Linked DNA regions of Macaca mulatta. The protein of the gene in region 3 purifies or fractionates together with the protein of the main gene of each other region. This does not show direct contact. Links are inferred from orthologs where the notes say so. Each region holds a gene or a part of one and is shown on either strand. Other genes may lie near its edges.

Region 1 (3,516 bases), on a different chromosome or scaffold from region 3:
TGCCTAGAACTGTGCCAGATTGTAGGACAGAAGACACTTTACAAAGGATTCCCTCAACATCAGCTCAGTGCGGTGGAAGGAACCTGCCCTTTGGGGCTTAAGAGAAGCAGTTTCACATCCTGATTCTAGGACTTCTCATAGCACGGAAAAGTCTCATGATATCTCTCTCAGCCCGATACTGGTTTTTAAATTAAGATGATAGTATTTTCCTTGAAAGTTAAAAAGGAAATTAAATTAGGAAGTATGTGTAACAGCACAGCATGGTAACTGAAACAGTGGGTACTAAACGAAGTGAATCTTTTTCCAAAACACGAGTGTACAAAGCTGAACAGGTAATAAATATGCTTTACCATCATTGCTTATAATGATGAAAATTTTTCCAATGCCTAAATGACTGATAACAGGGGATTGGCCACAGAAGTGATGCACATGCATAGCATGGAATATGGTAGCAGCCACTGGCAATCATGACATTCACTGACTTGAACAAACATTCACACCTTATTTGATTAAAAAAGAGAGAGCAAAATCTATTAGCTGGGCGTGGTGGCCGGCGCCTGTAGTCCCACTACTCGGGAGGCTGAGGCAGGAGAATGGCGTGAACCCGGGAGGCGGAGCTTGCAGTGAGCTGAGACTGCGCCACTGCACTCCAGCCTGGGCGACAGAGCAAGACTCCGTCCAAAAAAAAAAAAAAAAGCCAAATCTGTGAATCCTCCAGTCACATTTGTGAAAGGATAAACAGCAGTAGTTCCCTAGTGGAGATTTCAAGCCCTTCTCTCCCTACTTCACCTTCCCCTGCCAATGAGAATGCCTCTGATTGCAGATGGGTACCCCGCGGCTAGCTCCTCCAGTGCCTTCTCAGTCCCGGGCGGCATTGCAGTGGTGAAACAGGAGCTCCTGAAAGATGTGCTGGAAGGCTGTAACTATCGGGTCAACAACAGCTTGGACCGTAGGTTCGAACCACTGCCCGTGGGGGTGATCATCAGTTCTGCCAAGGAGTTGGTTGGTCAGAAGATGAAGTACAGTATTGTGAGCAGGAACTGTGAACACTTTGTCACCAAGCTGAGATATGGCAGGTCCCACTGTCAACAGGTAAGGATCTCTCTGGATAATCCATCTCCCCTGGGGAGGTCTGCTTGGGGCTGGACTCACTGGGCTATGCAACCAGGCGATCACCGTGAATGATGCAAACGCAGCCTCTTGGACACCCACTGACTGAGAGTCAGGACCTCTGAGCTCCAATGCCAGATCTGCTTCTAATCCACAGAGGGTCTTTGGACAGGTCCCTTCCCCTCCAGGCCTCTCCATGTGCAGAGTGGGTGGATGGAGGACCTCTGAGGATCCTTCCCCTCTAAACCCTATCCTGAAAATGACTCCTGAAGTTCTAGGGGTCATCAGGAGAATCTGGGCCAACCCAGGACCGTGACAGGTCCCACAACCCCCCAAAGAGCACTTAGGCAAGGGACGCTCAGGGTCCATGGACCTGTGTAAGAGCTCAAGGACATTTGTGTGTAAGATCTGCAGCCTCCATCCCTTGCCTCTTCATAGTCTTTCACATTTGTTGCCCCAAAACACACAACTAATAAGTGGCAGAACCAGGATTGAAACCCCGGCTGTCCTTTCTAGAGTCTGTGCCTGTGATGCCTGCCGTGTAGCAGCTCAGGGCCCCTGGCCTGCGGGACTGAATGGATGCGCGTCCTTGATGAGATGGGGATGATGGCAGGAGGAGAGGCTTTGGGGAGGGAAATCGAGAGTTTGGCGTGGCATGTGATGTCTGAGGTGCCCATTAGAGGCCCAGGTGGAGATAAGGCATGGAGTTGGAGTTTAGGCTGAAGTAGAGCTGGAGATGGAAGTTTCCAGGCTGCAGTTGGGAATAGTACACAGTGACCCCAGGGCACGCATATGGCCATGGCCTCCCTAAGTCTCCCCTCAGCTTCTGCCACAGCCCTCCCTGTGCAACGGTGTAGCTCAAGGAGGACTCAGACTGCAAAACAGTCCCCAGTCTGGCCTCTGGAGCTCTGGCCCTAGGAAGTGAGGCACAAACCTTCTTCCTCGCCGCAAATCCGAACAAATGTCCTCACCTGGAAGCTCTCTCAAAAGGATCTCATGGGCACATTCTAAGGACAAGCCCAGATAAACCCAACACCAAGAAGTGGTCACAGCCCAGAAAATGGAGTCCCTGGGGATACAGCCAACGGCTTCTCTGGGAGAGGATTCTGAGCCAGTCAGCTGGGAGAGAAAAGAGGAGATGCCAGGCCGTAGGGGAGGCAGGAGAGAGGGGAGACGGGGAGGAGTTCCAGGCCCTTGGGAGGGAGAAAGTGCCAGCCTGGCTTGCTGCGAACGCTCAACAAAAGCTGCTTGCTTTGCAGGTGGAAAATGCCGCGGCTGAAGTCGGTGCGTTCGCGATGATTGGAGCGGCTGTTGCTGGATGCTCTTTTGCGATTATGAAATACCAAAAGTGACAGCCTGAAGCAGCCACAAAATCCTGTATTAGAAGCAGATGTGGGGGTCCCAGTGGAGATGTGGGGGTCCCAGGCCTCCCCCACACCTCCAGCAGCCTGACCCTCGTGCTCTGTCTCAGGCTCTCTCTAGATCCTTTCCTCTGTTTCCTTCTCTCGCTGGTGAAAGTATGATCTAATTGAAATAAGATTGAAGGATCAATAAACAGCCATCTGTCCCTTCAGAAAGGAATTCTACCATGTTTTTATAGACTTCTGAATCACAAAGGAGGAAAGCAACATTGAGTGAACACCCACTGGATAGTTCCAGCAATTTCCAGCTGGGTGACTTTGGAGAAGGCTGTTGATTCTCTGAAACTCATTTCTTCCATGTCAGGTGATGTCAGGAGGATCACCTAAGATAATGCATACACGGCACCCAGCCCCATGTCTGGTACGTAACAGATGTTCAGTGAATTATCTTTATCATTCTACACAGACATAACATTGACGTAATTGCATGTCATTAATTTTACTCTCAGGGAGGTAAAAAAAAAAACTTAATTACCTCCCGGTATAGTCTCATGTGGTGCTTAAATCCACTCACAACACCTACGCATCTACCAGCATCTTCCCCGTTCCCTTCCTCAACTGGCCCTCTTTTTAGAAAGTTTTTTGTTTTTTTTTTTTTTAGCTCAAAGGTCTGAGTTCTCACCAACCTGTGACTACTAGATGGAGTAATATTCTTTCCAAGCCCAAATTGCCATGGCTCAAGCTGGTCCTGTGTGGAATGCTGAGAATTAGCTACCTCTAAATCTCCCTCCACTACTTCCAGCATGCCCTGGGTGTGGCTCCGGAAGTGCCCAGCTCCCCATGTTTCTGTGCTTCCTCACTCCAGCCTCTACCACCAGTGACCCTACTCAGTGGCCGCTTCCATGGTGGTCACTGCAGCCACCACCACTCTGCCTTCAGGACTGAGGACATCACCCTCCCCTGGGTTGTACTTTTTCATGCGTGAGCGAGCTGGTTGATCCCTTAATTCACCAACACAGTGGAGACCAGGCTATAATGATTAACG
Region 2 (3,925 bases), on a different chromosome or scaffold from region 3:
GCCTATAATCCCAGCACTTTGGGAGGCCGAGGTGGGTAGATCACGAGGTCAGGAGGTCGAGACCATCCTGGCTAACACGGTGAAACCCCGTCTCCACTAAAAATACAAAAACTTAGCTGGGCATGGTGGCGGGCGCCTGTAGTCCCAGCTGCTCAGGAGGCTGAGTTAGGAGAATGGCGTGAACCCAGGAGGCAGAGCTTGCAGTGAGCAGAGATTGCGCCACTGCACTCCAGCCTGGGCGACAGAGCGAAACTCTGTCTCAAAAAAAAAAATTTTTTTTCGATAGAGATAGTGTCTGGCTATATTGGCCAGGCTGGTCTAGAACTCCCGGGCTCAAGTGATCCTCCTGCTTCGACCTCCCTAAGTGCTGGGATTACAGGCATGAGCCACTGCACCGGGCCTATGGAGGCTTTGAAGGAGGAAAGACCTTGGCACTGTGTTTTTTTTTTGTTTGGTTTTTTTGTTGTTGTTGTTTTTTGTTTTTTTTTGTTTTTTTTGTTTTTTTTGTTGAGACGGAGTCTCACTCTGTCACCCAGGCTGGAGTGCAGTGGCGCGATCTCGGCTCACTGCAAGCTCCGCCTCCCGGGTTTACGCCATTCTCCTGCCTCAGCCTCCCGAGTAGCTGGGACTACAGGCGCCGCCACCACGCCCGGCTAGTTTTTTGTATTTTTTATTAGAGATGGGGTTTCACCGTGTTAGCCAGGATGGTCTTGATCTCCTGACCTCATGATCCGCCCGTCTCGGCCTCCCAAAGTGCTGGGATTACAGGCTTGAGCCACCGCGCCCGGCCTGACCTTGGCACTGTTAAGATGAAAAAAGCCAAAAAGGCAGGAGCATAGTGAGTGGGGCCAAGAGGCTTGTGATGAAGGCATTGTAGTTGGCAGGGCCCAGATCACACAAGACCTTAAAGCAGTAGGAGCTGCATCAATCGTAGCTGCTGAGACAACAATGATGTTGAAGATGGTGATGTATTTGTGACACCTAGCCTGGTCCCAAACTAAGTGTGTAATACATGCTAATTCCTTCTTACCACCTCCTGGGTTTGAAAATGTATCAGGGTGTTTGGGAAAGAGAAAGAAGTTCCTAATGTCTGCAGCACATGAGACAGGTGTTGAGATATGACCCTGGGAAAGTCAAATTAGGGCCAAATTATTAAAAGTTTTGGGCCGGGTGCAGTGGCTTATGCCTATAATCCTAGCACTTTGGGGGCCTAGGCTAGGGAGCCCAGGAGTTCAAGACCAGCTTAGGTGACACAGCAAGACCCCATCTCTAGTTTTAAAAATCATTTCATATTCCAGGCTAAATGTTTGGAGTTTGCCACATAGGCAGTGGAAGGTGTCGCAGCAGGGGAGTAGCATGATCAGACAAATTATGCTAAGTTCACGGGGAGACCACAGGGCTGGAGCAGTCACAGGGGTGTACCTTAAGCTGAGCCTTGAAGGCTGAACAGGCATGTGGAAGGCCACAGTGACCCTCCCCTGCTTCTTTTTCAGGTGGTTCCACGAGTGTTTGGGCGCATGGTGGGTAAAAGCCGGGAGGCGGTGGCCCAGGCCATGGTGCTGGAGATGTTCCGAGAGGAGGACTATTACAATGATGATGTTCTGGACCAGATGGGCGCCAGTATCCTAGGCGTGGAGGGCCCCCGGCGCCACCCAGATGAGCCTCCTGAGGATGAAGTCTTCGAGCTCTTCCCCATATTCATGGGGGGGCTTCTCTCTGCCCACAACCGAGCTGTGCTAGCTCAGCTTGGCTGCCCCATCAAGAACCTGGATGCCCTGGAGAATGCCCAGGCCATCAAGAAGAAGCTGGGCAAGCTGGGCCGGCAGGTGCTACCCCCGTCGGAGCTCCTTGACCACCTCTTCTTCCACTACGAGTTCCAGAACCAGCGCTTCTCCGCCGAGGTGCTCAGCTCCCTTCGTCAGCTCAACTTGGCAGGTGTGCGTATGACACCCGTCAAGTGCACAGTGGTGGCATCTGTGCTGGGCAGCGGAAGGCATGCCCTGGATGAGGTGAATTTGGCCTCCTGCCAGCTAGACCCTGCTGGGCTGCGCACACTCATGCCTGTCTTACTGCGTGCCCGGAAACTGGGGTAAGGACCTATCCTCATGCACAGGCATGAAGAGGGTTGGAGGTGAAGCAGTGGGAAGAGAAAGTGCCAGGGAAACCAGAGGTACTGATGAATGACCAGATGAAGAAATCTAGTTTGGGCGGAGGAGACAGGAGCAGCAGAAGGGAGGAGCCAGCCCTGGTGGCTCCTGCTTGTAATCCCACTGCTTTGGGAAGACAAGGCAGAAGCATCACTTGAGCCTAGTAGTTTGAGACCATCCTGGGCAACATAGCAAGACCCTGTCTCTACAAAAGAATTTAAAAATTAGTCAGGTGTGGTGGCATGTGGCTATCATCCCAGCTACTCAGGAGGCTGAGATGGGAGGATTGCTTGAGCCCAGGTGTCTGAGGCTGCAGTGAGTTGTGATCATGCCATTGTGCTCCAACCTGGGTGACAGAGTGAGACCCTGTCTCTCAAAAAAGGGGAGGCAGGTATGGATTCCCAGAGGCAGGCTGATGAAAAAAGGTCATGGTAGATGGACAGACTGCTTGCTGAATTCCCTCCCTGGTCTCTCACCTCCCCTCTGGCCACCTTCTGCTCCAGCTTGCAACTCAACAGCCTGGGCCCTGAGGCCTGCAAGGACCTCCGAGACCTGCTGCTACATGACCAGTGCCAAATTACCACACTGCGGTGAGTGCCCTGGGAGTGGGGCATCCTGGTGGCCAGCTAAGGTCAAGGGTGAGTTCCCTGCCTCCTGGCATACTTGGCACAGGCCCGTCCAAGGGATAGTAAATGGAGGTGGGTCTAGGCCCTGACTGGTCCCCTCCACTTCCCCTAGGTCTACTGCAAGCAGCGGGGCAGCAGGGAAAGATGCCACCTGTAATGGGTGCTAAGAAACCTCTCACGTGGCTAAAAACAGCCTGGGGGAGGCAGGGAGAGAGGGTGGAATAATACCTAGGCCAGTTGCCTGGTAACAGTGCCACTGATCCCCTTCCAGGATTTTTCCTGCAGCTTCCTGAGGATGACCCTAATGCTGGGCACTCAGTAGACACCCCTGAAGTGTTGACTGATACATGGGGAACCCGAGCACCTGGGTTCCGAGTTTCTGGTTGGTGTAAGGGGAGGCAAATGAGGAGAGAAAAAGGAAGAACAGGGAGAAGGATACAGGAGTCAGAGGGAAGGGAGAAGCAGAGGCTGTGGAGGGGGTGAAAAAGGCAGAAGAAGGGAAACAGAAATGGTGAGGAGGAAGGGAATAGATAAGAAGGGGGTCGGGGGAAGAGGGAAGGAAAGGCCAGCTCCCCTACTCTCCCTCCTCTGCCAGGCACCACACCCCCTATTGCTCTACCCTTTCTCCTGGGCCTGCATTTCTATGTCCAGGCTCCTCTTGCCCCAAGCAGGGCCCTCTTTGGCCCACGTCCTGACACCCAGCACAGCGCGCTGCCCCATCAAGGCTGCCAGCACCACCAGCAACCTTGCCTCCCCCTCCTCTCAATGGGCCCTCATAACCTTGGGTTGCACGTGGCCGTAGGCTGTCCAACAACCCGCTGATGGCGGCAGGTGTTGCCCTGCTGATGGAGGGGCTGGCAGGAAACACCTCAGTGACACACCTGTCCCTGCTGCACACCGGCCTTGGGGACGAAGGTCTGGAGCTGCTGGCTGCCCAGCTGGATCGCAACCGGCAGCTGCAGGAGCTGAACGTGGCTTACAATGGTGCTGGTGACACAGCGGCCCTGGCCCTGGCCAGAGCTGCCCGGGAGCACCCTTCCCTGGAACTGCTGCAGTGAGTCCTGTCCCTGGTCCCATTGCCCCCAGCCCTTCAGACTACTTCCATCTCTCGACTGTGCTCTTCCAATCCTAGGGAGTGCTTCTGGGCCTGGG
Region 3 (3,925 bases):
ATGTTGGCCAGGCTGGTCTTTATTTTTATTTTTGAGACCGAGTCTTGCTCTTGTCACTCAGGCTGGAGTGCAGTGGTACAATATTTTGTTTTGTTTTGTTTTGTTTCTGTTTTTGTTTTTGTTTTTTTTTTGAGACGGAGTCTCGCTCTGTGGCCCAGGCTGGAGTGCAGTGGCCGGATCTCAGCTCACTGTAAGCTCCGCCTCCCGGGTTTACGCCATTCTCCTGCCTCAGCCTCCCGAGTAGCTGGGACTACAGGCGCCCGCCACCTCGCCCGGCTAGTTTTTTTTTGTATTTTTTAGTAGAGACGGGGTTTCACCGTGTTAGCCAGGATGGTCTCGATCTCCTGACCTCGTGATCCGCCCGTCTCGGCCTCCCAAAGTGCTGGGATTACAGGCTTGAGCCACCGTGCCCGGCCTTTTTTTTTTTTTTTGAGATAGAGTCTCGCTCTGTCTTCTGGGCTGGAGTGCAGTGGTGCCATCTCGGGTTACCGCAACCTCTGCCTTCTGGGTTCAAGCGATTCTCCTGCTTTAGCCTCCTGAGTAGCTGGGATTACAGGCACGTGCCACCATGCCCAGCTAATTTTTGTATTTTTAGTAGAGACGGGGTTTCACCATGTTGGTCAGGCTGGTCTCGAACTCCTGACCTCGTGATCCTTGGCCTTCCAAAGTGCTGGGATTACAGGTGTGAGCTACCGCGCCTGGCTATTTTCCTTTTTCTAAAAATCTAGCTCCTGCAGGATTCTGTGGGTTTTTGTTTCTGCTATCTGGTTGCTTGTTTTTAATGTGGGAATTCAGATAGACATAAAAACTCTAGGGCTGGGCACAGTGGCTCACGCCTGTAATCCCAGCACTTTGGGAGGCCAAGGTGGGCGGATCACCTGAGGTCAGGAGTTTGAGACCAGCCTGTCTAACATGGGGAAACCACGTCCCTACTAAAAATACAAAAAAATTAGCCGGGTGTGGTGGTGGGCACCTATAATCCCAGCTACTTGGGAGACCGAGGCAGGAGAATAGCTTGAACCCAGGAGGCAGAGGTTGCAGTAAGGTGAGATCGTGCCACTGCACTCCAGCCTGGGCGACGGAGCGGGACTCAGTCTCGAAAAAAGAAAAAAAACTGCAGCCACTGTCATCTGCCCAGAATCTCCCCAGCACTCTCAGCTTCCTTGTTTCTTATTGTCGGCCCCCTCCCTTTCCTTCTTTTGCCCCTTTCATCATACTTTTGCTATTTACCTTTTCCTTCTCTCCTAATCCAAACCTTTCTTTTTGCCCTGGGGGCCATATAAATCCAAGGCTTTTGTATCAGATTAACTGGGTTTGGATTCCTGCCCCACTGTTGTAGGATCTTTGCTATAGTACTTTGCTTCTGCTAAGCCTCAGTTTCCTTATTAGTATAGTGGGGATAATAATGGCATTAAATAAGATGATACATGCAAAGCCCTTAATGGAGAGTCCAGGACATACTTAATTGTCAGTTTCCAGCAGCTGCCTTTATTGATGTGGCTGCTAATTGCTCTTCCTCACTCCATACCTGGCCCTGTCCTGGGCTCTGATTCAGTTTCATGTGGCCACCTTGCTCTTCTGGCTTTCTTGGCGCCCCACCCCCCTGCTGTGGCTTCATTCTGGGTGGGTAAGTGGCTGGGGCCGCCTGGCTTGAGCCGGACAGTGGCATTGTGTCTTCCAGGATCGACTGCGGGCCACCTGCACACTCTCAGGGAACCGGGACACCCTCTGGCATCTCTTCAGTACCCTTCAGCGGCGGCCCGGCTGGGTTGAGTCCTTCATTGCGGCGCTGAGGGACTGTGAGCTAGCTGATCTCGCGGACGAAGTGGCCTGTGTCTACCAGAGCTACCAGCCTCGTAAGTGTCCTGCCCTGGCCCTCCTCCTGGACCCCTGGCCTGCTCCCTGGCCTCTGCTCTCCCTTCCCCTCTCCCTGTACCTCCTGCCTTTCTCTGTCATCCTCTTTTTCATCACTGTGAAGCGATGGATAAACCTGGGTGTAGATCCAGGCTGAGCCACTTACCAGCTGTGTCCTTTTGGCCAAGTCCCTTAATTTCCCTGAGCCTCAGGCCTCTCCTCTGTAAAATGAAGTTCATGGCAGCATCTGCCGCGGGGGGCTGCAGTGGGTGATACCGCAGGACGATGCGTGTTGAGTACTGAGCTGGGCTAGGCACTTCCTGTATGCCCAGCACATGGGGTCTCCTCTAACTTTCATGGCTGTAGCGTTCGCCTCCCACCCTTCCTCATTTCTTCTCCCCCACCTACTCATTCATCCTCCCTCTCTCCACCTTCTCTTCCCGTCCCCTGGTTTACCTTGAGAGCCTTCAACGCCCTCTACCAACTACCCAGTTATTCCTTAAGTCCCTCTCAGTGTCCCTGCCACTCTGAGTGCTTGGAGGGGATCTGGTGAGATTGAGTTTGATCCTGAGTGAGATCAAGACATGGGAAGAGGCTGGGCGCGGGGTGTCACGCCTGTAATCCAGAACTTTGGGAGGCTGAAGCAGGCAGGTCATGAGGTCAGGAGATGGAGACCATCCTGGCTAAAACGATGAAACCCTGTCTCTACTAAAAATACAAAAAATTAGCCGGGCGTGTTGTCCCAGCTACTCGGGAGGCTGAGGCAGGAGAATTGCTTGAACCAGGGAGGCAGAGGTTGCAGTAAGCCAAGATCGCACCACTGCACTCCAGCCTGGGCGACAGCGAGACTCCATCTCAAAAAAAAAAAAAAAAAAGAAAAGACTTGGGAAGAAAAATCAAGCCAGCCCTATTTATATTTCAAACTAGAGGTAACCCCCGAGACCCTGGTCACATTTATAGCTGTGGGACATCCATGTTTATCTTTTCTTTCTCTTTCTCCTTTTTTTTTTCCCCCCTTTTAGAGACAGAGTCTTGCTCTGTCACCCAGGCTGGAGTGCAGTGGTATAATCATAGCTCACCGCAGCCTTGACCTCCTGGGCTCAAGTGATCCTTCTACCTCAGCCTCCAGAGTAGCTGGGACTACAGGCATGGGCAACTATACCTGGCTAATTTTTAAATTTTTTTTAGAGATGAGGTCTCACTATGTTGCCCAGGCTGGTCTCGAACTCCTGGGCTGAAGCGATCGGCCTCCCAGAGTGCTGGGATCATAGGTGTGAGCCACCGCGTCTGGCTCTCATGCTTACTTTTCTTTCCTTTTTCTCTTCCTCGCTTTTCCTCCCTCCCTCCCTCCCTTCCTCCCCTCCTCTCTTCCTGTTTTTCCTTCCTTCTTTTTAAATGTGACTCTTCATGTGTGGAGATTAATAGTTCTTCCCCTCGCTGGGTGCAGTGGCTCACACCTGTAATCCCAGCACTTTGGGAGGCCAAGGCAGGCAGATCACAAGGTCAGGAGTTCGAGACCAGCCTGGCCAATATGGTGAAACCCCATCTCTACTAAAAATACAAAAAAATTAGCTGGGCGTGGTGGTGCAAGCCTGTAATCCCAGCTACTTGGGAGGCTGAGGCAGGAGAATTGCTTAAACTGGGGAGGTGGAGGTTGCAGTGAACTGAGATTGTGTCATTGTACTCCAGCCTGGACAACAGTGAGACTCCGCCTCAAAAAAAAAAAAAAAAAGAGAAAAAAATAGTGACCCCCTGAATACAATACAATGGCTGTGGTAGGGCCTGATGAGGGGTGGTGGCAAAGGGGAGGGGCTGAGGCAGCAGCATCAGGGCAGGGGTCAGTGAGCAATGACAGTCATGGGGAGGAGAAAGCCACTGGGTCCCAGGATGCCTGGGGACAGAGAAGAGTGACTGCTGACATGGTGTGGGTGGCTAGAGGCCTACGAGGCCTCCTCCACACTCCCCCTCCTTCCTTGCTACCTTGTCCTCCAACTGCTGTCTCCCTCCCACTCTTGCCCCCTTGCCAAGTGATGCTTGTCACTCTTGAGGAGTGGACCCACATCAGAACAGC

Evidence for each region.
Region 1: the proteins of MAVS (region 3) and PLAAT4 purify together in Homo sapiens (affinity purification with western blotting; 4 studies listed by BioGRID). This does not show direct contact. The link is inferred for Macaca mulatta from reciprocal best matches to the Homo sapiens genes MAVS and PLAAT4.
Region 2: the proteins of MAVS (region 3) and NLRX1 purify together in Homo sapiens (affinity purification with western blotting; 4 studies listed by BioGRID and IntAct, with this or other methods). This does not show direct contact. The link is inferred for Macaca mulatta from reciprocal best matches to the Homo sapiens genes MAVS and NLRX1.

Annotation. Positions count from the first base shown.
Region 1 is NC_133419.1:10,876,893-10,880,408, reverse strand, and holds the end of PLAAT4 (phospholipase A and acyltransferase 4), read left to right. Parts: intron 1-823; coding exon 824-1,092; intron 1,093-2,369; coding exon 2,370-2,462; 3' UTR 2,463-2,687; downstream 2,688-3,516. UniProt on the Homo sapiens protein: Exhibits both phospholipase A1/2 and acyltransferase activities. Shows phospholipase A1 (PLA1) and A2 (PLA2), catalyzing the calcium-independent release of fatty acids from the sn-1 or sn-2 position of glycerophospholipids.
Region 2 is NC_133419.1:119,868,188-119,872,112, forward strand, and holds part of NLRX1 (NLR family member X1), read left to right. Parts: intron 1-1,493; coding exon 1,494-2,089; intron 2,090-2,650; coding exon 2,651-2,737; exon of another isoform or gene 2,738-2,785; intron 2,786-3,575; coding exon 3,576-3,827; intron 3,828-3,925.
Region 3 is NC_133415.1:80,208,336-80,212,260, reverse strand, and holds part of MAVS (mitochondrial antiviral-signaling protein), read left to right. Parts: intron 1-1,681; coding exon 1,682-1,856; intron 1,857-3,925.